Linked DNA regions of Coturnix japonica. The protein of the gene in region 4 interacts with the protein of the main gene of each other region in a pairwise test. Links are inferred from orthologs where the notes say so. Each region holds a gene or a part of one and is shown on either strand. Other genes may lie near its edges.

The links.
Region 1: the proteins of RINT1 (region 4) and FAM81B interact in binary tests that used the Homo sapiens proteins (3 or more experiments, as listed by UniProt). The two-hybrid records come from large-scale screens. The link is inferred for Coturnix japonica from reciprocal best matches to the Homo sapiens genes RINT1 and FAM81B.
Region 2: the proteins of RINT1 (region 4) and FAM110A interact in binary tests that used the Homo sapiens proteins (3 or more experiments, as listed by UniProt). The two-hybrid records come from large-scale screens. The link is inferred for Coturnix japonica from reciprocal best matches to the Homo sapiens genes RINT1 and FAM110A.
Region 3: the proteins of RINT1 (region 4) and CWF19L2 interact in binary tests that used the Homo sapiens proteins (3 or more experiments, as listed by UniProt). The two-hybrid records come from large-scale screens. The link is inferred for Coturnix japonica from reciprocal best matches to the Homo sapiens genes RINT1 and CWF19L2.
Region 5: the proteins of RINT1 (region 4) and EPC1 interact in binary tests that used the Homo sapiens proteins (3 or more experiments, as listed by UniProt). The two-hybrid records come from large-scale screens. The link is inferred for Coturnix japonica from reciprocal best matches to the Homo sapiens genes RINT1 and EPC1.
Region 6: the proteins of RINT1 (region 4) and RBM41 interact in binary tests that used the Homo sapiens proteins (3 or more experiments, as listed by UniProt). The two-hybrid records come from large-scale screens. The link is inferred for Coturnix japonica from reciprocal best matches to the Homo sapiens genes RINT1 and RBM41.
Region 7: the proteins of RINT1 (region 4) and SGF29 interact in binary tests that used the Homo sapiens proteins (3 or more experiments, as listed by UniProt). The two-hybrid records come from large-scale screens. The link is inferred for Coturnix japonica from reciprocal best matches to the Homo sapiens genes RINT1 and SGF29.

The regions. Positions count from the first base shown.
Region 1 is NC_029547.1:51,192,829-51,196,328, forward strand, and holds part of FAM81B (protein FAM81B), read right to left. Parts: intron 186-3,500; coding exon 56-185; intron 1-55.
Region 2 is NC_029535.1:9,125,469-9,129,606, forward strand, and holds the start of FAM110A (protein FAM110A), read left to right. Parts: upstream 1-1,338; 5' UTR 1,339-1,425; intron 1,426-1,516; exon of another isoform or gene 1,517-4,138. Other genes in the region: SLC52A3 (solute carrier family 52, riboflavin transporter, member 3), read right to left, coding at 1-514.
Region 3 is NC_029516.1:161,582,775-161,586,274, reverse strand, and holds part of CWF19L2 (CWF19-like protein 2), read right to left. Parts: intron 2,769-3,500; coding exon 2,556-2,768; intron 1,946-2,555; coding exon 1,829-1,945; intron 1-1,828.
Region 4 is NC_029516.1:12,593,500-12,596,999, reverse strand, and holds part of RINT1 (RAD50-interacting protein 1), read right to left. Parts: intron 3,327-3,500; coding exon 3,170-3,326; intron 2,446-3,169; coding exon 2,335-2,445; intron 2,134-2,334; coding exon 1,908-2,133; intron 38-1,907; coding exon 1-37. UniProt on the Homo sapiens protein: Involved in regulation of membrane traffic between the Golgi and the endoplasmic reticulum (ER); the function is proposed to depend on its association in the NRZ complex which is believed to play a role in SNARE assembly at the ER.
Region 5 is NC_029517.1:12,811,081-12,814,580, reverse strand, and holds part of EPC1 (enhancer of polycomb homolog 1), read right to left. Parts: intron 517-3,500; coding exon 357-516; intron 1-356. UniProt on the Homo sapiens protein: Component of the NuA4 histone acetyltransferase (HAT) complex, a multiprotein complex involved in transcriptional activation of select genes principally by acetylation of nucleosomal histones H4 and H2A.
Region 6 is NC_029519.1:1,848,402-1,852,380, forward strand, and holds the start of RBM41 (RNA-binding protein 41), read right to left. Parts: upstream 2,801-3,979; 5' UTR 2,554-2,800; coding exon 2,546-2,553; intron 2,477-2,545; coding exon 2,360-2,476; intron 2,278-2,359; coding exon 2,088-2,277; intron 1,968-2,087; coding exon 1,763-1,967; intron 1,607-1,762; coding exon 1,245-1,606; intron 1,022-1,244; coding exon 877-1,021; intron 691-876; coding exon 533-690; 3' UTR 1-532. Other genes in the region: NUP62CL (nucleoporin-62 C-terminal-like protein), read right to left, coding at 3,020-3,111. UniProt on the Homo sapiens protein: May bind RNA.
Region 7 is NC_029530.1:7,882,920-7,886,845, forward strand, and holds the start of SGF29 (SAGA-associated factor 29), read right to left. Parts: upstream 2,801-3,926; 5' UTR 2,745-2,800; coding exon 2,670-2,744; intron 2,476-2,669; coding exon 2,400-2,475; intron 2,191-2,399; coding exon 2,118-2,190; intron 1,879-2,117; coding exon 1,814-1,878; intron 1,635-1,813; coding exon 1,505-1,634; intron 1,107-1,504; coding exon 960-1,106; intron 721-959; coding exon 685-720; intron 266-684; coding exon 103-265; intron 16-102; coding exon 1-15. Other genes in the region: melanotransferrin-like, read right to left, coding at 3,219-3,259, 3,918-3,926. UniProt on the Homo sapiens protein: Chromatin reader component of some histone acetyltransferase (HAT) SAGA-type complexes like the TFTC-HAT, ATAC or STAGA complexes.

The DNA.
Region 1 (3,500 bases), on a different chromosome or scaffold from region 4:
CACTCTACATGTGCATCATCATCACTCACTGGATATTGTGAATTTCTGTACTCACCATCTTCTCAAATCTGCCAACATGATTTTTGAGGGTAGAGCGGAGGCTGTAGATCTCCTTATCAATGTTCTGGACTTCATGCCTGATAACACGGATGTCTCCTGATAGCTGTGCAATACTTGACTCACATCTGCAACCAAACCAGAGATGAGAGAACTTTTGCATGGACACATATGAAGGTGGGGAAGTAGAAGGCACTCAGCATTCAACCAGCAGTCCCCTGAATTGCAGTGACAACACACATGGTGTCCATGCATTGCAAACTCCTAGTGGCTCCCAGCTGTTTGAGGTGACCTGAAAAAGTCCACAGCTCACCCTGCTGGGCCAGCTCCTCCTTGGTTTCCTGCTGTCTAATCTTAACGGTGAGCTAATTTAAATCTGAAACGCAGTTACACAATCATTCCAGCTGCCTGCAGTCTTTGGATGCCTACCCGGAGTGTAGGAGTGCCCAGACAGCAGCATCCTCTGGCTTGAAGCAGATGTGGAGGATAATCAGGTTTGGAATGGCAACAGGCAAAAAAGATGTGGTGTTTTATAGGAATAACTTGTCATTTTCTATTTAAACTCTATCAGCTGCATTCAGTAAAATATCTTGTCACATTTCAAACGAGCAAACAGATGATTTGAGAATGATGGCATTAATTGAATAATACTTAACCAGCTTACGTCCAGGTAATATATGCATCCAGTTTTTTCCTGTCTTTACCATACCTAAACACAATGTGTAATATATGTGTATGTAATTACATAAATACATCTACTTTTTTTCACAGGAGGAAGATGATTTGCTTTAGTGTATATGTAAATATTTGTATAACATCATAAAATCATCCAACATGAGCTAGAAGACAGAGACTTCTGCTCTGCACACCTCCCTGAGCAGTGAAGGATGACTGAAAGTCCCCTCTACACCTGCCCCCCCCCAGGAGAAACCACCTGCTCCCATCAAATGCACTTGTAACAAGACCAAGGAAACAAATATCCTAGCTTGTGTAGTTTGTGCACAGCACAAAGCACGGAACATTGAGTATACATAGTTGATTGGAAGTTGAAACAGATGAGTTTTAAAATGCCAGAGAAATTATCTTCTGAGGCACCACAGGTTAAAGCCAGTTCTGTTGTCAGACAAAGGAACTAAAGAGAGCCTGTGACAGTTTAAATAGACCATCCTTTTGTCATCTCTTGGTGATGCAGAAATATTGAGATTCACCTACAGAGCATTCATCTCAGGGAAATGAAAAATGTTTCTGCACATAATAGAGGCTTTGTATAAAGGCCAGAACATTGATCAAAAAATTTATATATATGTTATTCATCTGGAAAACAAATTACAAAATAGCTTGAAAGGCAAACACAGCTCTTGAGAGGGCAGGGAGAGTGAGGTGGTGCCTGCTGCACTACCTTTACCAGTTCAAAACTCCAGCACCAGCATGGAGCCGGCAAGGGATGGTGCTCTAGGGGCTGGGAGCCCCATGGGGACAGGGGACACCCAGCACTGTACTGGGCCAGAGGAACACATTTGTATGTAACAGCAATGAGTCTGTGGCAAAGATGGGGTTATGGGATTATAGAAACCTCTCCACAGCCAGAGCAGAGGGTAGCACATGTACCTACACACAATACTGGTGCTTTGTGCAGCATTGCATGATTGCAGCAGTCTGGCAGACTTAGACCTGAAAGAAATGGAGATACTTGAGACTTTTAATATCCTGCTCCAAATCAGTATTTGATGTAGGAGATGCTCAACAGATTGTGGTGAGATCATCGTTTTTCAGTCACATACACAGAAACTGAGAGTATGCGAGGAACAGCAGGATGGGTATGGAAAAGTGCAGGAAGGGTGCTGCCTTGTTAGATTTGCATATAAATTAAACAGCAAAAAGAAATAAAAGCTTCTAAGGATTGTACAGAAGGATTTAATTATAGGCAGGAATATAGCCGCCTCATATACATTCGAGGAACATTACCCTTTAAAGTCATGGAAAGAGCAGTATATTCAATAAAGAACTACTAAATTTGGCAAAGTTTGCATATTCTGAAAGGTGGAATAACTTCATGGGCATGCACCACTGGCTTTGGTAGTCCAGCACTACACTGGATTTCTCTTTTGAGAAACAAGGAAAAAAAATCTCAGGAAAAAAATTGTAATGCAATCATCATCTGTGTAAAGTGCAATGACTATTCAGTCTTCTACTTGGTGTGTCTGAAGAGATGAGTCAACATTTATGAGAAGTTTCATCTTACAGTTGATTACCTAAGTTTTATTACTCTAAAATATGATCCCAAACCCAAAGGAATTCTTGCTTCAATTTATTTTAAGAATTAGAACACAAATCTAAAAATACAGCTAATTTTATATGCTGCCTGCTGATGTTGAAGGTTGTTTTTGCTGTCACTGCTATTCGAAACACAAATGTTTACATGGTGTAGGTATGTGGTCAGAAGGTCCCAGAGTTAATGGATGGCCACGCCAGTATTCAACAAGAGTGCTCTGTCTTTCAGGGGAAGACAGAGTGACAGAAAAGAGAGACACAGACTGAATTACAAGAGCTAATCCACATTAATCCTTTTCATGTGGCAGAATACAGGAGGATGAATCATCTGCTCAGAGAAAGAGCAGTGTTCCATTAAAGCTTACTTCATCCCAAGTAATCTTCAGTTGAGGTCAGGCTGCGTGTTAGCAGCAAAACTTCCACTGCAAGTTTGTACTGGGAAGATTTCTAATCAGTCAAAACACACAAGTTGTATGAAACCCTGAGTTTGTCTCCAGCTACTCTGGGCTATACTTCCTTTACACAGCTTTGGGATGAGACTAAAGGTTGAAGGAACATGAGATGATCCTTCTGACCAGTTCTGGCTCACTTCAAAGCACCATGCTGGGGACAGTTTTGCCAGCGAGAGAAATGAGAAAGTGCTGAAGATTCATTAATCAAAAGAAAACTGTACTATGCTTCAGTGTGCACTGTCATGAGTGCAGGACCTCCATTATTGTGTGTGGATTTTCAGTGAGTAAATGGAAGTGGATCAGTATTTTTTTAACCCTTTGCATTTTCTTCTTCCATTTCCTTCTTTCCCCTGGTGTGTTTGCTTTCCTTTGCTGCAGGCCAATGCTCCATCATAGCAAATGGGAACAAGACCTACTGGAGCTAGCAAAAATGAGCAGCAGGCCTGGAGAAACACTGGGAAGAAGAAAGAGGACACATTGCTGACTGAACATCATGACTTTACTGAAAGCATATAATCTGAAAAGTCTGCCCAAATTTGAGAAGACCAAGGGAAAAATTAATTGCATGATCACATCCTGCTTTCTTTCAATGCTGATCAGGCAGAAGATTTAAAAAATGTATATTTCTCCTGCCAACTTTAAATGTACTACCTTCACCACCTAGTTTTGAATTTTTGGGCTTTGCTTTAGTAGTTTGGAGCCCTTCAGTACACTATGATT
Region 2 (4,138 bases), on a different chromosome or scaffold from region 4:
CCTGGCTGACATTGGCACAGCTGGAGATGCCGGAGCCCTGGCCCAAGGCAATGAGAGCAGGGATCAACCCGCTGAGTCCTTCACCTATGAAGAAGGTGGTGAGGTATTGGGCCTGCAGCTGCATCATGAAGGGCAGGAAGGTGACAGAGGAAGTGCAGTCAACCAAGGACAAGAAGAAGGTGAGGATCAGGAATGCAGTGCTGTGAGTGGTCCCTGCGATGGGGGATGTGTAGTCCCAGAGGAAGGCCAGCAGCAAGCAGGCCACGATGCCCACAGACACAACCACATAGATCACGACCACCTCCTTCAACGAGCCAGGCCAGAAGCGGTGCATGAGGGTGACGAAGAGCGGCCCAATGTTGGCCATCTGGATGATGATGGTGATGTAGGAGGGCAGGTCCCACTGCTCCGGCAGCACACTCACCAGCAGTGGCAGCTCGACCCACAGCCCGTTGATGGCCACCCAGGAGCCCGTGCCAAAGACACAGGCGAGAAGGTGAGTGAGCAGCGCCATGGCTCAGGGCTGGCTGCCGCCGTGCTGTGGGGAGAAGCTTCATTCAGAGGTGGAGCTCTGTACCCCAAGCCCCCACAAATGCTGCCTACATCCCCTCTCCTACAGGCAGCCCCAGCTGCTTCTCCTGCAGCACTGAGGATGGGCAGAGTGGCATAGCCTAGCAAGCAGCATGAGGCCTTATGCCACCACGGGGACCCCTCAGTGCCCCACAAGGTGCCCTGCTCTGCCTGAGGCACCCACCCTGCTTGGGCACAGAGACTGGAACGGAGTAATGTGCTAGAGCTGAGCAAGCTTAGCACGGCACTGCCTGTATGGCCTAACACAGCCATAGCATGGACTAGTACAGCCTGGCAGGACATGAAAAGGCCTAGCATAGCCTGGCACAGCATGGCATGGCTTAGTATGGTCTAGCATGGTCCAGCACAGCACAGCATAGCACAGCAGGGCACAGCAGGGCAAAGCATGGCCCAGTACAGCACAGCAGGGCACAGAATAGCTCAGCATGGCCCAGCATGGCTTGGCACAGCACAGCATGGCCCAGCATGGCCCAGCCCAGCTCAGCATGGCTCGGCATGGCTCGGCACAGCACAGCATGGCCCAGCCCAGCTCAGCATGGCCCAGCATGGCTCGGCACAGCCACTGTTGCCTCTCACCTGTGGGCTGTGATTCCTATGCAGCCTCTCTCCCGGTACCCTTGGTCTCTCCCTTCCCTCCGCATCCGCAGGCAGCTCCCAGCCGCTGTTGTCCTCCCGCTGACTGCAGCCCAGCTCCGGGCCGGTGGGGCAGGAAGGTCCCGCGGCTCCACCTGCGAACAAAGCCCGGCTCATACCTGCGGGCTGACTCAGCCCCGCACCGCCACTGCCCGCCCCGAGCCCAGAGCAGGGGGGACCCGCACGGCCCCGCGGATGGGGGTAAGGGGATGGGGGTAAGGGATAAACGGGGACGGGCTGCGGGGTGGGTGACCCGAGGAAGGCAGCGCTTATGGGGCCGGAGCCGGCCTTTATATGACCTCATGGCGGAGGGAGGTGTGCGGAGTGGTTGTTATTACGGAGCGGAAAGGGAGGAGGGAGGAAACAGGAACCGGGTCGGAGCCGGGCTGAGCGGCGGGGCAGCTCCCGGTCCGGAACTCACTGCGCTGAGCGGGGCGGACACGCGGTACCGCCGGACCGGGATACCGGGCCGTGACGTCACACGGACACGTGACCGCCCCCCCCAAAACACCGGGGCGGGGGGAACCGGGAGGGGTCACGTGACCTCGTGCCGTGCCGCTGGGGGGTCCCGGCAGGTCGTTGTTGGGGGGGGGGGTATTTGTGTTATATGGAGCTGTTGGAGTGGGGTGGGATGAGATAGAGTCATAATGACAATAACAATGAACGGGCTGTGGGTTTTGGAGGGGTGGGGGGGGGTCTTCTTCCTAAGGGATTCCCATATCATTGTGCATGGCTGGGGGCAGAGTGACTGCAGCCATCCCATTGTGATCCCATTCCATAAGGAACAGCTGGAGGGGCTCGGGAACCCACCCCCCTCCCACCCCATTCCTGCTCCCCTCCCCAACACACCCAGGAGCAGAGATACAGGGTCCTATAGTCCCCCCCACACCCCCCACCTCAGCCCCAGGTGCTGGCTGGGACCCCAACACCCCAAACTCAGCCCTAGTGCACAAAGTCCCCCCCTCACCCCCCAGCCCAGCCCAGCCCAGCCCCTCCTGTCCCCACGTACCAGCAGGGTCAGCCCCAGCCTGCTGCTGCCTGGCTGCAATGCCAGGTGCTCTGTGCAGTGCTGTTGCTAAACCTGCACACCCTGTCTTGGCCGAGTGCCGGCATTTATTCCTGGCTGTGACACACGGACTTTGCCCTTGTCCTCAAAAGATCTGTGTGCCACCTATATCAGGCTGCACCTTGAGGGTGCAAATGTCAGCGTGCAGTGCTGTGTGGGATGGATGGCTGCAGGGCTGTGTGCCTTGGGAGCACTGAATGTGGCTGAGATGTGGCTGTTCCTGCAGGTGTGCATTGTGCACATACACTCCTCCAGCTCTGCTCAGCCAACACAGGGTGCACGGTGGGATGTGACCAAGCACCCAACCGTGCCTTGAGCTGGCAGGTGTGATGCTGGGAGGGGCTGCAGAGGGCAGATCCAGCTGGGCCTTGTTGCAGCACAGCCTGGCGTGGTCTCATCCCAGCACCCAGTTTCCCCATCAGCAGCTCTTCCCCCAGCACCCACTGGGTGTCGCTGGGAGAGCGGGCTGCGATGTGCTGCCTCGTGCAATGCCCTGCCTGTCCCTTATTGCCCTGCCTGTGCCCTGCAGCCAGCCCATGCACCAGGAGCGGTGGTGTTTCTGCATCTGAGTGCCCTGTGTTGCTAGGAGGCACCGGGGGCTGATACAGCTGAGCCTCTTGCTCCCCATGGGGATGGGGGCAGCAAGGGGACAGCGGCTGTGCCTTGTTCATCCTGCAGCACAAAGGAGCCCGAAACCAGGACTAATTGGCTGTGGCACAGGGGCCGGGGGGCACAAAGGGTTGATGGGCACAGGACTGAGTGCTGCTGCACGCTTCTTGCCCCAGCCCAGCTGACACGTGCTGCCTGCCGTGCAGGGGGGGCTGCCCCCCACCCCGTGCTGCACCGCACGGCAGCTGAGCCCCGGCCCCTCTGCACCCCGGCAGATGCGAGCAAAGGCCCCAAGGCAGATGGCAACATTTGGTCAACGAGCGGTCCCGGGCCATGGGACTGTGCTGGGATCAGGCAGGAGAAAGGCCCACCAGGAACCACCCCCTCCCGTGTCCCCAAATGCAAGGCCATGTCCAGCGTGGGTGAGGATGCAGCAGATCCTCTTGGGTGGGGAGATGCAGGTGATGAGAGCGGGGCTCCATCCCTCATTCCGCAGGCCCTTCTCATAATGAGGATCACCAGTAAGGAGCACAACCCACCAGTGGGACCCCAGCTGTCCCACTGGAGGGGGCCCTGTCATACAGGCTGGGGAGCCCAGCCAGAAAGTGGGGACCAACAGCGGGTCGCTGCCCGTGGCCCCTTCCTCCCCTTCCATTCTCCTCCTCCTCACAGCTCCCCATCACCATTTGCATCCCATTTCCATGTGAATGGAGCAGGTCAAGTTGAAAGTTGAAAGCTGGCGAGGGGCGCCTGGGGAAGGGGCCTCTGCCAGAGGTGAGAGCCCAACAAAAGGGGCCGCATCCCCAGGGCACTGCGCTCGCATGGCTGCGGCCACGGCCCTGGCCCCAGCACAGCCGCCCTTCCACCATCTGCGGGTCCGAGTGCAGCCGCTGCTGCTCAGACAAAGCCCTCACACCCGGCACGTCCCCATCTGTTGGATCCCCTGCACCCGGGATCAGTGCAGCTCTGGCCCTGAGCAAGGCTGCTGTATGCAAGGATGCGCATGGAGGGATATACATGGAGGGATGGTCATGGGCAGCATCCAAACAGTGGGCATGAGGTGAGGCTGTGCCCGTGAGAGCACCCCTCAATCATCCTTGTGGTCTCTAAGGAGCTCCCTGTGCCCCACAACAGCCATTCAGCATCAGGGAAACTGAGGCAGCGAGTGGGCAGTGGCTGTCCTGGGTCAGGGCAGAGGCATTTCCCAGCTCCAAAGCTATCTGCAGCATTGTCTGGGTG
Region 3 (3,500 bases), about 150 Mb from region 4:
AATGAGTATAGTCTATGGGGCCAGATGGCGTGCATCCCAGGGTCCTGAAGGAGCTGGCTGAGGTGAGTTGCTGAGCCGCTCTCCATCCATATTTGAGAAGTCGTGGCTGTCAGGGTGAGGTCCCGGATGATTGGAGGAAGAGGTCACGTCACTCCCATTTACAAGAAAGGAGCAGGGACGACCCGGGTAACTACAGGCCGGTGAGTCTCACCCTCGTGTGCCTGGGAAGATTATGGAACAGGATCCTCCTGGACAACATGCTTGATCGCATAAAGAACAAGCATGTGATCCGAGACAGCCACCAATGGCTTCTCCAGGGGAAGGTCATGCTTAACTAATCTTGTGGCCTTCTATGATGGAGTACGGCAGTTGGTGGTTGAAGGGAAGGCGAACCGATGTCATTTACCTGGACCTGAGCAAGGCCTTTGACATGGTCCCCCATCACATCCTCATCTCCAAATTGGAGGGAGGTGGATTTGATGGGTGGACAACTAGATGGATAAAGCAATTGGTTTGAAGGCCGCAGGACAGAAGGGTGGTGGTCAATGCCTCTATGTCAGGTGGAGGCCGGTAACGAGCGCGTCCCTCAAGGGTCTGTTCTTGGGACCGGTGCTCTTTAACATCTTATTAATGACATCGATTGAGGGAATGGAGTGCACCCTCAGCAAGTTTGCTGACGACACCAAGCTGAGTGGTGCAGTCGATACGGTGGAGGGAACAGATGCCATTTCAGAGGGACCTTGACAGGCTGGAAAGCTGGGCTTCGGGTGAACCTAATAGGGTTCAATCACGGCAAAGTGCAAGGTTTTGCACTTTGGGCCGGAAGAACCCCAGGCACCTGTACAGGCTGGGGGAGTTGTCCTTGAGAGCAGCTCGGCTGAAAAAGACCTAGGGTCCTGAATAGATGAGAAACTTAACATGAGCCAGCAGTGCGCTCTGGCAGCCCGGAAAGCCAAATGGGATCCTGGGCTCCATCAGGAGAGGGTGGTCAGCAGGGATAGGAGGTGATTGTCCCTCTCTACTCTGCTCTTGTGAGGCCCCATCTGGAGTACTGTGTCCAGGTTTGGAGCCCTCAGTACAAAAAGATATGGAGATTTTTGGAAAGGGTCCAGAGGAGGGCGACAAAGATGATCAGGGGGCTGGAGCACCTCCCCTATGAGGACAGGCTGAGGAGTTGGGTTTGCTCAGCCTGGAGAAGAGAAGGTTGCGGGGTGACCTCATTGCAGCCTTTCAAGTACCTGAAGGGAACTTACTCCCAGGAGGGAGTAAACTCTTCAAAAGGGCTGATATACAGCAGGACTAGGGGAAATGGTTTTAAGTTGAAGGAGGGAAGATTTAGTTGGATGTTAGGGGAAAAGTTCTTTACTAGAAGGGTGGTTAGGTCCTGGAACAGGCTGCCCAGTGAGGTTGTGGATGCCCCGTCCTTGGAGGTGGTCAAGACCAGGTTGGACGGGCCCTTGGGCAACCTGATCTAGTAAATGTGTATGTTTGGTGGCCCTGCTAGGCAGGGGGGTTGGAACTACATGATCCTTGAGGTCCCTTCCAACCCGGGCAATTCTGTGATTCTGTGATTCTGTGAAAGCAGTGATCTTGATGGAACAAGATTTCAGGACATACGAGTTCTTCTTGGCAGGGCTGCTCTCAATAAGTTCTACTCACAGTCTGAACTCATATCTGGGATTGCCTTGACCCACATGCAACACCTTACACTTTGCCTTGTTAAATCTCATTAGATTCTCATGTACCTACTTTTCAAGCGTGTACCGTGTCATTCAAAACAATATTATTTTACAAAGCTGTTGGAACATGAGACAGTTTCTTATCTGACCTGGATTTCTTCCCAGATTTCTTCATCCAAAAGAGTGGCTGCAGTATGGTGTTGTAAAGGAGCTATCAGGCAGTGACCTTCAATTAAGGACTGGTTGCTTGGCAGAGACAAGTATACCTATGAAGAGTGAACAAAAACTGAAGTGCCTATTATTCTAGTGTTTAAAATATTCTCATCGCTAAGTTGAAGAAATACGTCATCTGCTACAGTTCAAACCAATAGAAGACATTATCTTCTACTTACAGCAAAGTATTTACAGCAAGGGCTGCTATAAATCCAAATATTTATACATATTTTAAAAGAATTAACAAAATGAGGATGGTTTGGTTTTGTTTATTCCAAAGGATTTTAAGCTTAAGAATGAAATCCTCCACTTGGGTTTCTTTGAAATCACTGAGATACAGATCTTTATCAGTTCAAATTTCCTCCAGTGTAGTATGACTTAGCCTTCCACAAATCCACCTACAGTATTTACTTAGATCTTTCATTATTGCTTTATGTTTTCCACAAATCAGAAGTTCTGATATCAAAGACTAGCTTTGCAGTTCACAACAGATTCATATCTTTTTCTCCCTAATCTTTGAGGAATTCTTGAAATCAACTGGAAGGGCAGGGAGTATAAGAGGCAGAATAATCAAATAAAGAAGCAACTGTGCTCTTTAACTCAATCACTCCACTATTCTTTCTTTTTTACATTTAATTTTGTGCTAAATCGCTATTTTCTTACCTTGGTACCAATTGCAATAATAAGATGTTTAGAAAGTTCACCGCTATCAAAACAGTAAGGACACTTTTCCATGCGTGCAGCAAGCTGCTGGTGCTCATGTATTGCTCTTCTTCTTTGTGTTTCTTCTTCTTCCCCAAGGCGTGCTTTTTTTGCTGCTTGGGAAACAAACATATCATCCAGAGTGTAGTAGTCTCTGTCAGTTTTCTCCATAAGCTGAAAAGACAGACAAAAAAAAATTGCATTTAAATATAAATAAGTTAGGAAAAAAGCATACTTTGCTCTTTGTAATATCCTTTACTACAAAAAGGATAAAGTGTGTAGCAGAAGCAGCACTACTCTTTTCCATACGGCATCTGCAAACCATACTATTATCAGACACATCTCCTGAGAGCAATCATGCCCTGTTTCAGACAGCTCAGGTATTAAAGTACAGATGTTTAACAACAGGAAGAGGAGTATATCACTATATTCCATCACAAGTTAAGAGCTAGTCACAAGTACCTTGGCAAAACTCCAACTTAAAATAGATGTACTATCTTCATTTAATCATGTACTATCATACATTCTATTTCAATCTTTCCCCTCCTCTTCCTTTCCTACTACAACTACCACTGCCCACTAAATCATGCACTGTAAAATAGCTAGGCTGTGAATCTATGCCTCATCTTCATGCTCTGTGAAAACATGCCAACACTCTTCTCAGGTGAACAACTCTAAGCCACTCTTTGAAGATGTCATCTTTGTTTTCAGTACTTTCTCTTTCTTGAATGAATCTGTTCCTGGATAGGGATAACCAACACAACTAAATGTACAGAAAAAAAGGCTGAATAATTCCTTTTTTCTTTTGTTTTTTGTTTTGTTTTGTCTGTTCGATATTTGTTACATTTCAGGTAGGATCCGTTTATTTAAAAGAAAGCTCAGAAAATTAGAAGAAAATACCTGAAA
Region 4 (3,500 bases):
TCTGATGAAAGCATAGAGTCCATTTTCTGAAGAGCAACTGAGATGCAAAAGAATTGTAAATGCTGTTAGTACTTAATAATAAAAGCAATTATCTAAAGCCCAAAAAACCATAAATATAAAAATCTTTATCTCCAATAAATTGAATTTAACGTCTTCATGTAAAGAAAAACTACCGATGACTTGATTTATATAGAACCAGCTGCAGTAACAGCACTACAGACACAAACAGAACATCAGGGTTGACTGTGGTTTCTGTTTTAAATGACTGGTTCCTTTCCAGTATATTTCCTCCCCATTTCCTCAAAAATTAATACCTTCCCTTCGTTTCAATTTCAAGTCAGTCTTTGCACAAATAAGCGTATAACACTATCTAAAAATAAACATACTAGATCCCTAGATTATATGTTAAATAACCATACTAGATTAGGGGCAATGGTCCTATAAACTTCAGGAGCAGTACTGCAGCCAAACCAATTTTTAGTCAAAATAACCACAGAATACTGGAGTATCACAGAATGGGTGGGGCTGGCAGGGACCTGGGTCTGTATGACCAAACTCCTGCTTAAGGAGGAGCACCTATAACAGGGTGACCAGGGCCATGTCCTCCACAGCAAACTAACAAAGATCGTGTCTCCTGTTAATAAGCTCCCTTTAACTACCAGAAGGCCACAATGGGGTCTCTACCTAGAGCTTTCTCATCAAGAGGCAAATCTCACTGGTGACAGGACAAGGGGAAATGGCCTGAAGTTGTGCCAAGGTAAGTTTAGGTTGGATGTTAGGAAGCACTTCTTTACAGAAAGGGTAGTTAAACACTGGAATAGGCTCCCAGGGAGATGGTTGAGTCACTGTCCCTGGATGTGTTTAAGAGCTGTTTGGATGTGGTGCTCAGGGATATGATTTAGCAGAGGGTTGTTAGGGTACTACAGTTAGGCTGTGGTTGGACTTAATGATCTTTGAGGCCTTCAACCTGAGTAATTCTATGATTCTCTTCTCCAGGCTGACAAATCCCAGCTGCCTCATCCTTTTCATAACAGAGATGCTAAAGTCCTCTAATCATCTTCATGGCCCTGTGGTCCCACTCTGATAACTCCACGTCATTGTTGTGCTGGAGGCCCCAGGCCTGGAAGCAGTACTCCACGTGGAGCCTCACAAGGGCAGAGTAGAGGGGAACGGAATGGTGATGAGATCTCCTGGAGCCTCCTCTTCTCCAGGCTGAGCAGCCCCAGCTCTCAGCCTCTCCTCACAGCAGAGGTGCTCCAGTCCCTTTATCATCTTGGTGGCCCTACACTGGGCTCTTTCCAGTATGTCCATGTCTCCCCACATAATGTTGGCGGGGGAAGAACTGGACACAGTACTGCTGCAGGAGTAGTGGTCTCACCAGTACTGAGCATAGAGGGAAGGAAGGATCATCTCTCTTGAACTGTTGGCAATACTTTGCCTAATGCAGGACACCATTAGCCTTCAGGACAGCAAGAGAACATTGCCGGCTCACGTTCAACTTAGTGTCCACCAGGGCTTCTACATCCCTTTCTGCAGAACAGCTTTCCAGCTGGGTGGCCTCCAGTATGTCCTTGTGCCAGCAGTTGTTTCTCGCCATAACCAGCCCACCTGGGCTCCAGCCTGTCCACAGCCCTCTGGGTAGCAGCACAGCCCTATGGAGAATCAGCCACTTCCCATAGTCCTGTATCATCTGCAAGTTTACCAAGGGTGCACTCCACCCAGTGTCCAGATCAGTACAGATGTTAAGCAGGACTGCACCAATGCTGACCCCTGGGCATTCTACTCACTGCTGACCTCAAAAACATGTCTTTTGTAGTTTAAGTGGCTCATCCTACCTGGGGAATTGATATATTGCCCAATCAGAATGAAAACATATACAGACCAACAAAATTCCTTCCAAGTCTTACATTTCTTTTCCACTGTCAGCCATCTCTGGAAGCAGGACTCTTCTGAGAGAATATGCATGCAACTGGGAAAGCTGCTGAGATAACCATGAACACTGAATAGCTCTCTCTCAAACAGAAGTACCTCATCCACAAGGTGACAAAAGAGAGTGTCGTCATATAACACAAATGGAATATCAGTAGCCAGCTTCTCCAAAATCAGCATTACCAGAGCACGAGAGAATTCAAGCTTTTAAAAGAGAAAAAAAAAAAAAAAAAGTGAATAGAAAAATCAGAGGTATAGACATGTATAAATATGTGCAAATGTATTTAACTTCTAAAACTGTTGCTGGACTGTGTTAAGTCTCACTGCACACTAAGATCAGCAGAAGAGTTGCTTGCACAAGCTGTGTAGGTACTTATACATACACAAAACCACTGAGGTGCTTACCCCAGCATTCACTGGCGATCCTGCCTTGTCCAATATTGGCTGGATTTTGTCATCAAGGAACTTGGCGTGATTTCCAATCCACATGAGCACTTGTGTCAAATACCACTCAGGCTTATTTAAAAAAGAAAATTAAATTAGTGAACTCACTAATATACATAACGCTATTAAAAATACGCTGTAGTAGCAACTGCCAGAGTGCAAATACACTTTGATTTGCCTAAGACTGTCAACACAAACACACAGATCTAATCTCTTACAAAAAGTGTCTCTCAAATCCTGCTGCAGAAGCATTACAGCAGTGCTAACGTTACACCTGTAAGAAACCTGCTTACATGACAGTTCTTGGATGAAAAGACTCAGCCTTTGGAGATAACTCATACAAAAAGCAAGTCAATTTCCAACTAGTAAACTGGACACATGGCAAATAGAATTATACCCATTATACACCAGCAGCAGGATCCAGTATTTTCAGTCACATGAACGTTGCAAAACACAACAACAAAAATCAAAGTCAGAGCCTTATACAGTCTTTGAGTTCAAGCAATACTGAACACTGCAAAACAATTTGTAAAGACAAAGACTAAATTAATCTATGCTTCTGAAATGATGGGAGCGAATGCAGGAATGATTTCAGAAAAACATTGCCTAGCCCAGAAAAGATGTTAGTCCTCTCAAAGGTCTCCAAGCACTGCCTTGATGCCTGTCCATACAGTACATACAAGTACCACGTATTTTAAGAAACTGAATTTCCAAAATGAAAGCATTAAAGCTACGTAATTTAATGCTGCTAAAAATAGTAGCAATAAAATTAAACTGTTTTTTTTTCTTTCCATACCTTGCTTAAAACATTGGTTGGTTTATTTCCAGTGAAATGGTAGCGGAATCTTTTCTGCAGAGGATTCAGCATGATCTGTATTGGGAGGATAACAGGTGGTGATGGAGGTAAGGAGTACTTTTCTGGCAGCTGTTTGGGTTTGGTTAACAGCTCATCTCTAAGTTTGACAGTCAAGGAGAAATGCTGAATTTCTCTGTAAGTATCATTTAAATACAATGGGTTTACAAAAACAAATACGTTTTAGCTCTACCTCACTGTCCGAAGGCACACAAGCTATAAAATGCCTCCAATTTGAACAATGCTCAAAACGTTTCAGTTTTATAAAATATTT
Region 5 (3,500 bases), on a different chromosome or scaffold from region 4:
ACAAAAGATAATTTTTAAGGTCTGGTAATTACCCCACGGGACAGTTTTAAATGACTTTTATAATGTTTTTGAAAGTTGTCCAATGTAATGTGCTCATGGCAGGGTCCACACCAAGCAGAGCAGCTGCCATGTTCCAGCACCAACAGCACCCTGACACACGTGTAACTCAGTGGAATTACTAAAACTGAAGTATGAACATACAGACATAGAAGGACATTATCTACTTCTTGAACAAGAACTTAATATGACAATTAATTCTCACAATCTAGACTTGATAGGAGCTCAAAATGCATTTAAGATCAATCTCTACGTGCTGGTAAAATAAAGTTCCTGGTGGGAACTCCAACTTTACTTACGCTGTATGTGAATCAGCTGCTTTGGCATTTTAAATTCTCCAGGATATATAGATTCATAGTATGCAATATTACTTTCTGCTTCTGGGACTGGTATAACCATGTTATCCCGCTTCTCTCCATATACTTGTTGTGCTGAGATAGCCCGTTGGAGATGATGTTCCTATTAAAATAAAAGGAAGCCAACATTAACAAAAGCTCAAAGTACATTTTCAGAGCTCAGACTTGAAAACATGACACACGACACGTCTACTTCCTCACAAATGGTCCAAATCCCAAACCATGAGATCGGACATAAGAGACCTGCTTATCAAACTGCTCATCCCAAACACGCTCTATCAACTCACAGCTGTCTCCAGTAGGTGGAGCCCTCTCTCCTATATAAACACAGCAGACTCCAGTTCCTAAGCAAAGCTGCATGTTCTTGGCACAGCACCTTCCATAAATCCATCCTTCGTATTTCTGGAAAGACACTACAGATGGACGAGACACACAGACTGCAACAAGGAGCTGCAGACACATTCACAGCAGTTTTTTCTGTTATTCGCTATGGCAATTTATCGACAGCAATGACAGAGAAACATGAAGTAGGGCAGCCAGCACATTCTATTATAAAGAAAACCAACTACTTATCCCATTAACCCAAACGGCTGATTCTTGTTTATCACAATGCTTTACATCACTCTCCTTATTCCCCCTCCTAACCCATCAGTGCTTAATATAAAACTATAAACCATCACAATGAGAATAATTAGCTGTCAGAAAACAGCACTTTCTCAAGCTTAAAAGTCAATTGCATTTGCAACTGCTCCTGCAGTCTGAGTAACAGGCCAGCAATGCTGCAAACTACTGGAACCTACTAATGCTGCTATTGAAACGCATTCCATCTTTCCTTTCAGTCTGTCAGGACAGCAGGTAGCAGCAGCTCAGCCTGTGAGAGTTAGCAGCACCAAGCACACACACACACACAACCTTCACACGCAGGTACGAGCAGCTCATCCACAGTGTAACACTGCACCCTTTCCCTTGCAGCAAAACATCTTTGCTGCTGTCTGCATTCAAACGATCCTTCCCAGGTGCCATAAGGCAATGCAGCACCAGCCGTGCCCATACAGCTCTGTCAGTGGGATGCTATAATGCTACTGAGATACTGATACCAGCAACTACAGCAGAAGGGCAGGGGGAGAGGGCAACTGATTCCACAGGTGAAGTAAGAACCTACCAGCGTTCAGCTGTATCACCTTGTAACACCTCTGCCAGACTTCAGTTTACCCCTCTTCAATACAATGATCACCTTTCAAATAAAACAACATTAGAAACTGTAAAATCAGCTTTACCATAAACTGCAGAGACAGAGCTCAGCCTCCAACTAAATCCTGCTGCAAGGCATAGATCTGGTGCAAGAATTCACTGTGGTATGAAAGAAGCGATGAGCTAAAACACGCTGCAGAGTTCACCCACATCTGTCCTGCTCAGCCATCTCTTATGAGAAGAGCTGAACTGTGAGAACATGGCATCACACAGCCACAAACAAAGCTCACAGGACACAGCATTTGGTAAACCTCAGCCCTGGGGGAGACGCCGCACCTGAAGTGAATTCTTGGCTTACTTTATTTTTTCATCACAAGAGACTATCACCAGAACCTCCCTACCACCGAAACCGCCATGTTAGGGCAGGAACTACCAACAGGGACACTGCACCCCGCTTCAACAACTCAACTGGTGCCTCAGCCACCTCCCTCCCCATGATAAACATCGAGTGTGAATAGGAATCTGGAAGCTCATTTTACAATACAAAACCACGTTAAAAACTACAGCCAGCCAGCCCACCACAGCTTCCAGTTTCTGTTCTGCACTCATCCTCCACTGTGAGGATGCACAGCTGATTCCTCCCACTCAAATGCAGCACTTCATTCATCTAAAACTGGAGCCTTCTGCTTTAAAGTGCAGCAGTTACCTCAGTTTGCCAGCACGGTTCTGAATCAAACCTGCCAGCTGCCCTTGATGCATTTTAAACGGCTCAGCATCAAGCATAATCAAGTCTTCCTCTTAGTACAAATACAATATTCCCTTCTTAAGGCACATTCACAGCTCACTGCTCAGCACCTTGTTCCAAGCCTTTCACTTTCACATTCATGTATTATTTGTTCCAACTCCCCGGTTTCCACACATGCAGGTTCTTGTGCCAACTGATCCTTCTTATCAAAGCGACACCAGACAGACACAGCTCTGTCCTGTTAGTACAACCCAGACCAAACTACTGCACAACAGGTAAGCCAGCAGTTTGTTCCCTGTTTGCTTCCCTTGAATCTCTCATCCATGAATCTCTCATCCCTGTTTAACAAGTAGTAACTGAAATGTACTTTTTTTTCCCTACTGTTGTTTCTTTGTAGAAAATTGTAACCACAAAGGTGCCTTACCCTGGCTGTGAAGCCCTCCATTTGTACCCTAGCTATGTTCAGCCCATTAGGCTCGTATCCAGGAAAGCTTCCCTCAGTTGCTTCCTCCAGCTGACACGAAGGAAATACAGCCCTGGGAGTTGTGCTATGACACCAAATCTGATCCGCTGCTTTCAGAGCAGTGGCCCCTTTCCTCAAACCACATTCCTTCTAACTCTGAGCCAACAATGAAGCTCATCCAATCCATGTATGAGGACACTCAGAGCTCAACCAAAGCAAACAGCCCCCAGCCCACCACTCTTCAGCTGTGCTCCCTGCCATGGCTCACCACGAGGTCAGACAGCTCCAAAGCAGAAGGGCTGCAGCAGGACTGCACACACACAGACGTACCGAGCCAACAGCTTTGCCTTGTGCAGCCCCCATGACTGGAAAACCGCACCCTCCAGATTCCTGTCCAGAAAGGCACCTGGGCAGTCACAACTCCAACACTCACCACAGCATCTCACATTACTCTGCTAGTTCTTCAAACAAACAGAAGCTCAATAATTATTTCCTCCTTTTTCCACCCCTCTGGTTTCCTTCTAATTTAAATCTACAAGGAAAGCCCACTGAAACAACCACCCTCCCTCAGATTACTAGGAAATAGCAAGATACAATGTACTTTGCATCCGTCCAAAGCTAAATTTTATATGAACACCATCCTTTATTCCATAGTATTCTATTAATTCTTAAGATACAACATTTATCA
Region 6 (3,979 bases), on a different chromosome or scaffold from region 4:
TTTGCTGGACACAGAGCTCCTGTGCTGAACAGTGGCTGCAGCTCAGCCAGTGAGAGCAGACAACCTCCAGTATATCAGAGCCCCAGCAACTTCTGCACCCAAAGCACCACCTTAAGGCAAACGATGCTGATGCTTTAAAACATTCAAGTGTGAAAAATGATGCTTCCTTGCACACGAGTCCCTTTTCTCTCAAAGGAGCACACTGACGTGCAAATAAAGATCCAGAAATACACGATATCAGCACATCTGTTCACACAGCTTCCCCTCTTCCTCGCCACAAGGGGTTGATAACACAGACAGGTGGAGCACCCCAACGGCAGTGTGAGAACAGTGCATGAGGAGCACCCAGCACCAGCCCCCCTGAAGAGCCTCATGTACCAGCAGCACAGAGGAGAGCTGTGCTTCCTCAGCACCTTGAGGCTGCGGTCAGCCCTCACCCTGCCCTGCAGCTGCACAGAGCTGCACTCAGCTCCCACCAGTCCTCAGCAAGGCCAGCTCAGGGCCTGTTCAAGTCCACGAGCTCCTCCAGCCCTTACGTGGCAGCAGGCGGTGCTCCAGCAGAGCAGGAGGGAGCAGCAGCCTCAGCCTCTGTTGATGGCACTTTGCTTTTCCCAAATTCAATCACCATGGGCTTCCCATGCAGTTTGTACCCGTTCACCAACAGCATCGCGTCCTGAGCTGACTGAACATCTGCAAGGAGAGAGCAGAATGGTTCTCAATGCACACCGTGACGCAGCGCTGCAGCCCCCAGCCCAAGAAAGCAGCATGCAGGAAACCCAGCAGCACGTTTGGATGAGTCCTCCCCCAGCACACAGAAAATGTGAGCAGAGATGAAGGGGAGATAGGAGGAAGGGCCAGGCAGGAGGCTGAGCTCACCAGGGAAGGTGATGAAGGCCTGGCCCCGCATGCGGCCGCTCAGCAGGCGGAACTGGATGGGTGTGCTGTCCTGCTGGAACCGGGCAAACAGCGACACCAGGTCCTGCATGGTCACACGAGGGGCCAAGTTCTTCACATACAGCACCTGTTGTGGAGGCACTGGGGTCAGCCGGCCTGTGCCCGGCTAACGGGTGTACATAAACCCACTGCCAGCCCTTACACCTCACATATAGGAGCCAGCTCAGCTCTGCTACCAGCACGGAGTCCCCCACGCACGCAGGAGCTGGCACCTCCACGCAGCTGCCAGGCAGGAGCAAAGAGCCTTTCCTGGCTGGAAGATGGACAAAGCGTGGTTCATCTCCATGTACCTTGTTGGGCTCCCCAGGACGGTAGGAAGAAAAGCGAGGTATGTTGCGGAGCTCTTCCTCAGAGAGCCGGTTCCTGCAGATCTCCTCCTCTGGGATGAACTCCACAGGCTCCTTTATAGTCACAGGCCCTGGAGGGGGCTGCTGGAGCTTTGATGGAGGGCTGGGGCTCCCTGCCTGGCCTGGCTGGTCAGGAGGTGATGAGTCCTCATGGTCAGAGCCCTGCAGGGCTGGGGCAGGCAGGGAGCACACAGCACTCGTGCTTGGTTGGTCCCCTGCAGGCGGCTGCTTGCCCAGCACCTCTTGGTAAACGCTGTCCAGGTGACCCATGGGGTCCTTCTCATCTGTGACCCTTGGGGTGTCATCTAATCCACAACAGAGAGACACGGTGTGACGGTGCACTTGTCCCCCACCAGCAAAGGGGCCGCTCTGCACCTCAGGGCTCAACCCCATCCCTGCAGGTCGCAGTGGGATCCCTGCTCTGTTAAACAGCCCCAAGGGCAGAAGGGCTGGGAGCACACCTTGGTGGTACAGTGCCCGCAGGAAGGAATGCCGGTCCGTCCCCTGGAATAGAGCGTTCTCGATCTCCATCTCCCTCCTGCTCAGCTGTTTGCTGCCAGCAAACCTCTGCGGCAGCTGCAGGATGCGCTGCCTCTCGTCCATCTTCTGCTGGATGGCATCGAGTCGCTCCCGCACGGCTTCGGGGGCCGCCCCCAGCCCGGAGCGCTGCAACCAAGGGGCCGCCGTCAAACGGGCCCCGCCGCGTGGGGCGGCCGAGAGCCGAGAGGAGGCGGCTCCGCATCCGGCCGGTGTTTATGGGGCTGTCACACAGCGGAGCGGCCTCACCTTCCCCGCAGCGCGGTTCCTCCATAGCTCGATCTCGGGGTCGGACAGCCCCAGGTCCCGCAGCGCCGCGGTCTCTCTGTCGCTCTCCTGCAGCTCTCGGAACTGGGACAGGCTCAGAGCCCCGGCCGCCGCCTCCCCGAAGGGCCGGTAGAACGCGGCCGGAGCGAAGCACCTCCGCTTCGACTTACACCTGCACCGAGAGCGGAACGACCGCCGGGAGCTGAGCGGGGCTGCCGCACCATCAGCACCCCCATCCCCCGGCCGGGACCCACCGCTCGATGGAGGCGTTGGTGTCCAGCTGCTGCTGCAGGAGGCTCTTCAGCTGCCGCTCCCCCTCCGTCTCCAGCTCCTCCAGCAGCACCTCATCGCTGCACACGCTGCTGCTCACCCTGCTCGGCACGAAGCACCGCTCAGCGCTCGGCCCTGCAGCCCCCGCCCCCCCGGAGCCCCCCGCTCACCTCCGCATGGCCGCGGCCTCCAACCGGGATCCAACTCTCAGCAGCACCCGCGGCGATGGCGGCGGAGCGAGCGCCCCCTGGCGGCGGGGAGGACGAAGTGCCGCAGCGCTCGCACAGCGTTACAAGCGGGATGTTAGAGGCACAACTCATTAACCCCTCATTAAAGCCCACATGGCCGTGGTGGGAAGCTGAGGCTATCAGACTCCTCACATCTGTCAACCCTCTTCTGTAAGGACCCAGCTAACACGGAGCTGTGATTGCAAGTATCCAGCTTGCACAAAGTGCTGAGCCTGGGGCAGCAGTTGTGTGTGTGTGCAGCAGGAGGAGCCTCCACCGCCACAAAGAGTAACTTCAGCAAAAAGACATTTATTGCAATTAAAGAAGGAACATACACAAAACAAAAGATGCCGAGCAGGTCCCCGCCAACCTCTCCTCTATGGGGCTGTGAGGTAAGCGTTGTGAACTGGGAGTCCTTCAATCAAAGGTGATCCGAAAGCTGCGCTCCTGCTCCTTGCGGCGGCTCTCACAAACCTTGGTCACCTCCTCCACCTTCCTCTGCAGCAGAGCTGAGGGATGGGGAGAGAACAGGTCACACTCAGCCCCAGCCTGCGAGCAAACACCCGCCCGTTCCAACACAGACAGAATCCCAAGGCAGAGCCCTGCTGGCCTCACAGATGGCACTGCGCATCCCAGCACAGCTCTGCAGGCACTCAGTGCAGTTCCCAGGCACGGCAGCAGAGAGCAGAGCAAAGCCTGCACCAGAGCTGCAGCCCTGCAGAAAGCAGCCGCCTTCTGGAGGCATTTCCCTGCCCGCCTCACATCACACTCCAGCCGTTGGGAATTATGCAGCTTCCAGGTTAACCCATCTGGTGGGAGCGTTGTCCTGCAGGATAACAGCCACAACAAGCTTTGAACTGCAAGTATAGTAAAAAGTGCAACGAGACGGAGGAGCTACAGATGACTTCCAATCATATTATAGATGCGTGATGTCACTCTGTGGTTTGGAGATACTCCAGCTGAAGTTTTAATCCTGCAAAGCGTGCCAAACCCAGAACCTTCCAGTAACACATTAAGCAACACATTTGCTTGTCAGCTTGCAAAAAGCCACCGTGCAGAACCGGCATAAAACAGCAGCCTGATTCTGCTGCTCAACTCAGAGCTCTGCTGGAACAAAGAAACACTCCTGCTTCAATCAGGAGGAGAAAGCAGCTGGGAACAAGGCGTTATCCCAGCTCTGCTGCCAGGGAGGCCACCGTGGGGATGGAACATCAGCAGCGTGTGCTCAGCAAGTCTATTCGTGTCAGTGTAAGCAAAGCTGAACAAGCAGCATTCGTTTAACTGAAGTCCCCCCTGTTCCACTTAATGCTTGAACAAGTCAGACAAGTTAAGCACCACTTTGCACGCCTGTTCCTAGAACAGATCGTTATCACCCCG
Region 7 (3,926 bases), on a different chromosome or scaffold from region 4:
GTAGTCATCCTGCGGCTGTGTGCGGGGCAGAAAACAGCATCAGTAATGAGTGAGAGCTGGGGGCACGGCAGGGCCCATCTCCAGGGCAAAATGTGGCCGTACCCGCTGCGGGGGTGCATGGATGAGGGCACGGTAGAAGCAGGTGGTCTGTGGGTAAAGTGCCAGCACCAGCTGCTCGCGCTGGAACAGCGCTTCGGGGTCGGTCTCAGGGTTGGCCTTCCACTGTGGCAGAGGGATCACACGGCGCCGGCTGAGCGTGTGTCTCCTGCAGAAGGGAGGAGCAAGCAATGGGTACGGGCTGGGGATGGGGGAGATGAGGGGTGTGGAGAGCAGGTTTGGGGGCAGGGGTTGAGAAGGGCTTTGTGGTGTGGCGGGTATGGGGAGGGAGTTCGGGAGGAGCTAGAGGGGTCTGGGGGGGTGCGCCGAGGGGATCTGGGAAGATTTGGTGAGAGCAAGAAGAGTTCTGTGGAGAACTGGGAGCGTGGGGGACATGGGGAGGGGGGCTGTGGGGAGTTGGGGTGTTCTGTGGGGTTTGAGGAGGTTTGGAGGGAGTTAGGAAGAGTTAGGGGGTGATAAGGAGGGAGTTGGAGGGATTGGGAGGGCTTGGAGAGGAGGCTGGGGGCTGCCTGAGAGCGGGGGCAGCTGTGGGGTTAGAGAGGGCAGTTGTGGAGTGGGGGTGCTCACTCTTTGCCCTCCTCATCGATGTCGTCCACTTCATACCTGGGGTGGGGAGAAGCGAGAAAGGAGAAAGGACTGAACTACAGCAAAACAAGGGGAAATGCTGCGATCCCAGAGCACACCACGGCCCCACAAGCAACAAGTGCAGTGCTCCACACCATGCCCCACACCCCCAAAGTGCCCAAACTGCCCCCCCGGCCCCACTCAAACCCCCCCCAACACACACATATTCCTGCTCCCCTCCACACCCAACCTGCCGCCCCCTTGCCCCCTCCACGCACTTGTTGGCAGCATGGCTGTAGCTGACCACCTCCGCCAGGATCCACTGCTCATCGCCGTCCACGGCCTTGACACGTGCCGCCACTTTGTCCCCAGGCTTGGCCACGTAGTCCCCAGCTGCCGGCATGGCACCGCACAGTGGGGGGGGCCTGAGAATGAGGTGGGGGTGGGTTGGTGGGTGGGAGTTAGAGGGTGAGGCTGGGCTGGGGTTTGGGGTTCTGCAGTGCAGTCAGGGGGGTGTTGGCAATCCACAACAGGGGTCAGGGAACAGGGCCTGGGGTTTGATGGGGGGAGAGGGGAGGAAGGGTGAGGGCACGGTCAGGATGGGGTCTGGATGGGGTTGGGTTTCCCAGGGTGGGGCTGAGATTTGCTATGGATCCAAATGTCAGGCATGGGGTTAGGGCCGTGCTTTGGAATCTGAGTCCAGAACCAGAACTCCAGTGGAACTGGGAGCTCAGGGCACAATGTGGGGTATGATGGAGTGTGGGTCTGGGAGTTTAGGGCACCCTGTGGGGAAGAGTGCACTTGTGGGGTCGGGAATACCTACTTGTCACCTGGCTTGCCGATCCAGAGCGGCAGCGTCATGGCTGACTGCTGCAGCAGTGTCATCAGCACGCCACGACGCATCGTCTTGCGCGGCGGCTCCGCGTCACTGTAGATCCCTGCGATCTTGGCAGCTGTGACACAGTGGGGGGGTGGACACAGTGACACCAAGATTGGGAGGGCAGTTGTGGGGGGGGGCATACAGAGGGAGATTTGGGCGTAATTCCAGGGATTTGGGGTGTAAAAATAGAAAAAGAGAGGTCAGGGACACGTGGGGGTCAGGGACACTTGGGGGCTCAATGGAGGCACGTACCAATGCGGCGCTCTTCCAGCAGAGACTTGATCTCAGCGATCTTGTCCAGCGCCTTGCGCAGGATGCTGCAGAGCCATAAGGGCAGCTGTCATGTATGGGGGGCACGGGGCAGGGTGTAGGGTTGGTGGGGTGCAGGGTTGGTGGGGGTGTAGGGTTGGTGGGCTGTAGGGTTGGTGGGGTGTAAGGTTGGTAAGGGTGTAAGGTTGGTAAGGGTGTAGGGTTGGTAAGGGTGTAGGGTTGGTAAGGGTGTAGGGTTGGTAAGGGTGTAGGGTATGGGGATGTGGGTATGAAGGGGCCGCCCTACTTGCACTCGGCCTCAGCATCTGCCTTGGCGGTGGTGTACAGCCCGCGCAGCTTCGTGCGGTAATACGGCGAGACTGGAGGGGGGAGGTAAGAACGCTGTGAAACCAAGTCCCCATCGAACACGCTGTCCCCAAACCCCGCCCCGTTCCCGAGCCCGGCCCCAAAGCTGCCCCTGCCCAACACTCCTCTCTGAACCCCTTCCCCTCCCCATTGCCCTGCTCTCCTCCCAGCCCTGCCCCCTCATCCCCCTTCACGCCGCCCCTCGGCCCGGCCCCGCTCTCACTCTTATTCTCGGTCTGCATCCTCTCGTGCGTCTTCTGGATGTTGATGAGGTTGTGCTCGCTGCGGGACCGCTCCTCCTGCAATGCAGCGGGATGACGGGGGCTGCCCGCACCACCACCCCACCTCCAGCCCCACAGCCCAAATCCGGACCCGTGCGACAAAGCGCCGCCCCGAACCAGCACCCTACAGCCCCGCACCGCCCCCAGAGCGGCCCGATGGTGTCGGTGCGGCAGAGCAGCGCCCCGCTCGCTCTGTGCGTCCAGCCCCGCACCTGCGTGTGCCCCAGCAGCCGCTGCAGCTCGGACAGCAGCTCCGCGATCCGCGAGTCGGCCGACACCAGCGCCATGGCCGCACCGACGGGCCGCGGGGCGCTCTGCGCATGCGTCAGGCGACACAGAGCACTGTGCGTCAGCCCGCACATCGCACTGCGCATGCGTCCCGGTGCAGTTCCGCGCTTTGGCCACACGGAGGCAGCACCGACGTAAGAAACGAGTTCGGCGCTGAACGGAGCCGGTCACGGCAGCGCTGCGCCCCAATGAAGGGATGGGTCAGATCGACCCCAATGAAGGGATGGTACAGATCGACCCCAATGAAGGGATGGTACAGATCGACCCCTGCTGCAAACGGGAACGGCACGACACGGGAGCAGTATTACATGACCATAAACAACATCTACTTGCTGCAGAAAACAAAGGTTATGATAAAAGATAATCAGCATACATGGCCGGGGGTGACGGTTTCCTTGCAGACAGGCAGGACTAGACTGATTTCCTTGTTCTCACATTGGTGGCGGCTCTTGCCTTGCAAAGCAGCTGTCAGATCAATGAGCACAGGTGTCCTGTCTGCAGAAGTCCAAGATGCCTGCAAACCAATAGGAGAACATGGCCTTAAAGATGTGATCGGCCCTGAAAGTTGCTGCTGTTCACTACAACACAACAGTGCTGGTATTCCCTTGTTGACTTTCAGTCCTCTAACAGCTATTAAACTTCCTAATCCATTGTGCAAGCTGCAGCTACTTCAGCACAGATCCCCAGGGCCCCTAACAAGCTCAGCCCTGACTGATAAGCAGTTTCATTTAGTTTTAGTCAGAACTAAATACAAAATAGCTTTCAGTATATAGTAGTGAACAAACTCTCATTTAAGTACAATGAGATCTTTAACTCTGGTGTAGTTTTTAGTGCAGTCTTCTATCAGAAACAGAGTTATTTCCCCTAACCCTGACATACCCAGACCTCTGGGATAGGAAGAACAAGTTTCTGAGTGGAAGACAATTCCACTTCAATAACTTTATATTTGCTCTGACCTGCATTGGTTGTATCATCCCCACAGACCCCCATTTGCAGTGCTTACAGATAGGAGCTGCAAGAGTTCTCAACACTCCAGATATTACACTCCACTAACAAGGTTATGTAGAAATTACCTCTGAAGTTGGCATAAACCAGAGGGCCGTGCCTGTGCACACAAAACTTCCCTCTGCTTTGCATTTTTCTCTAATTCAGAATGAAGAATTTGACTTTACCTGCAGGTG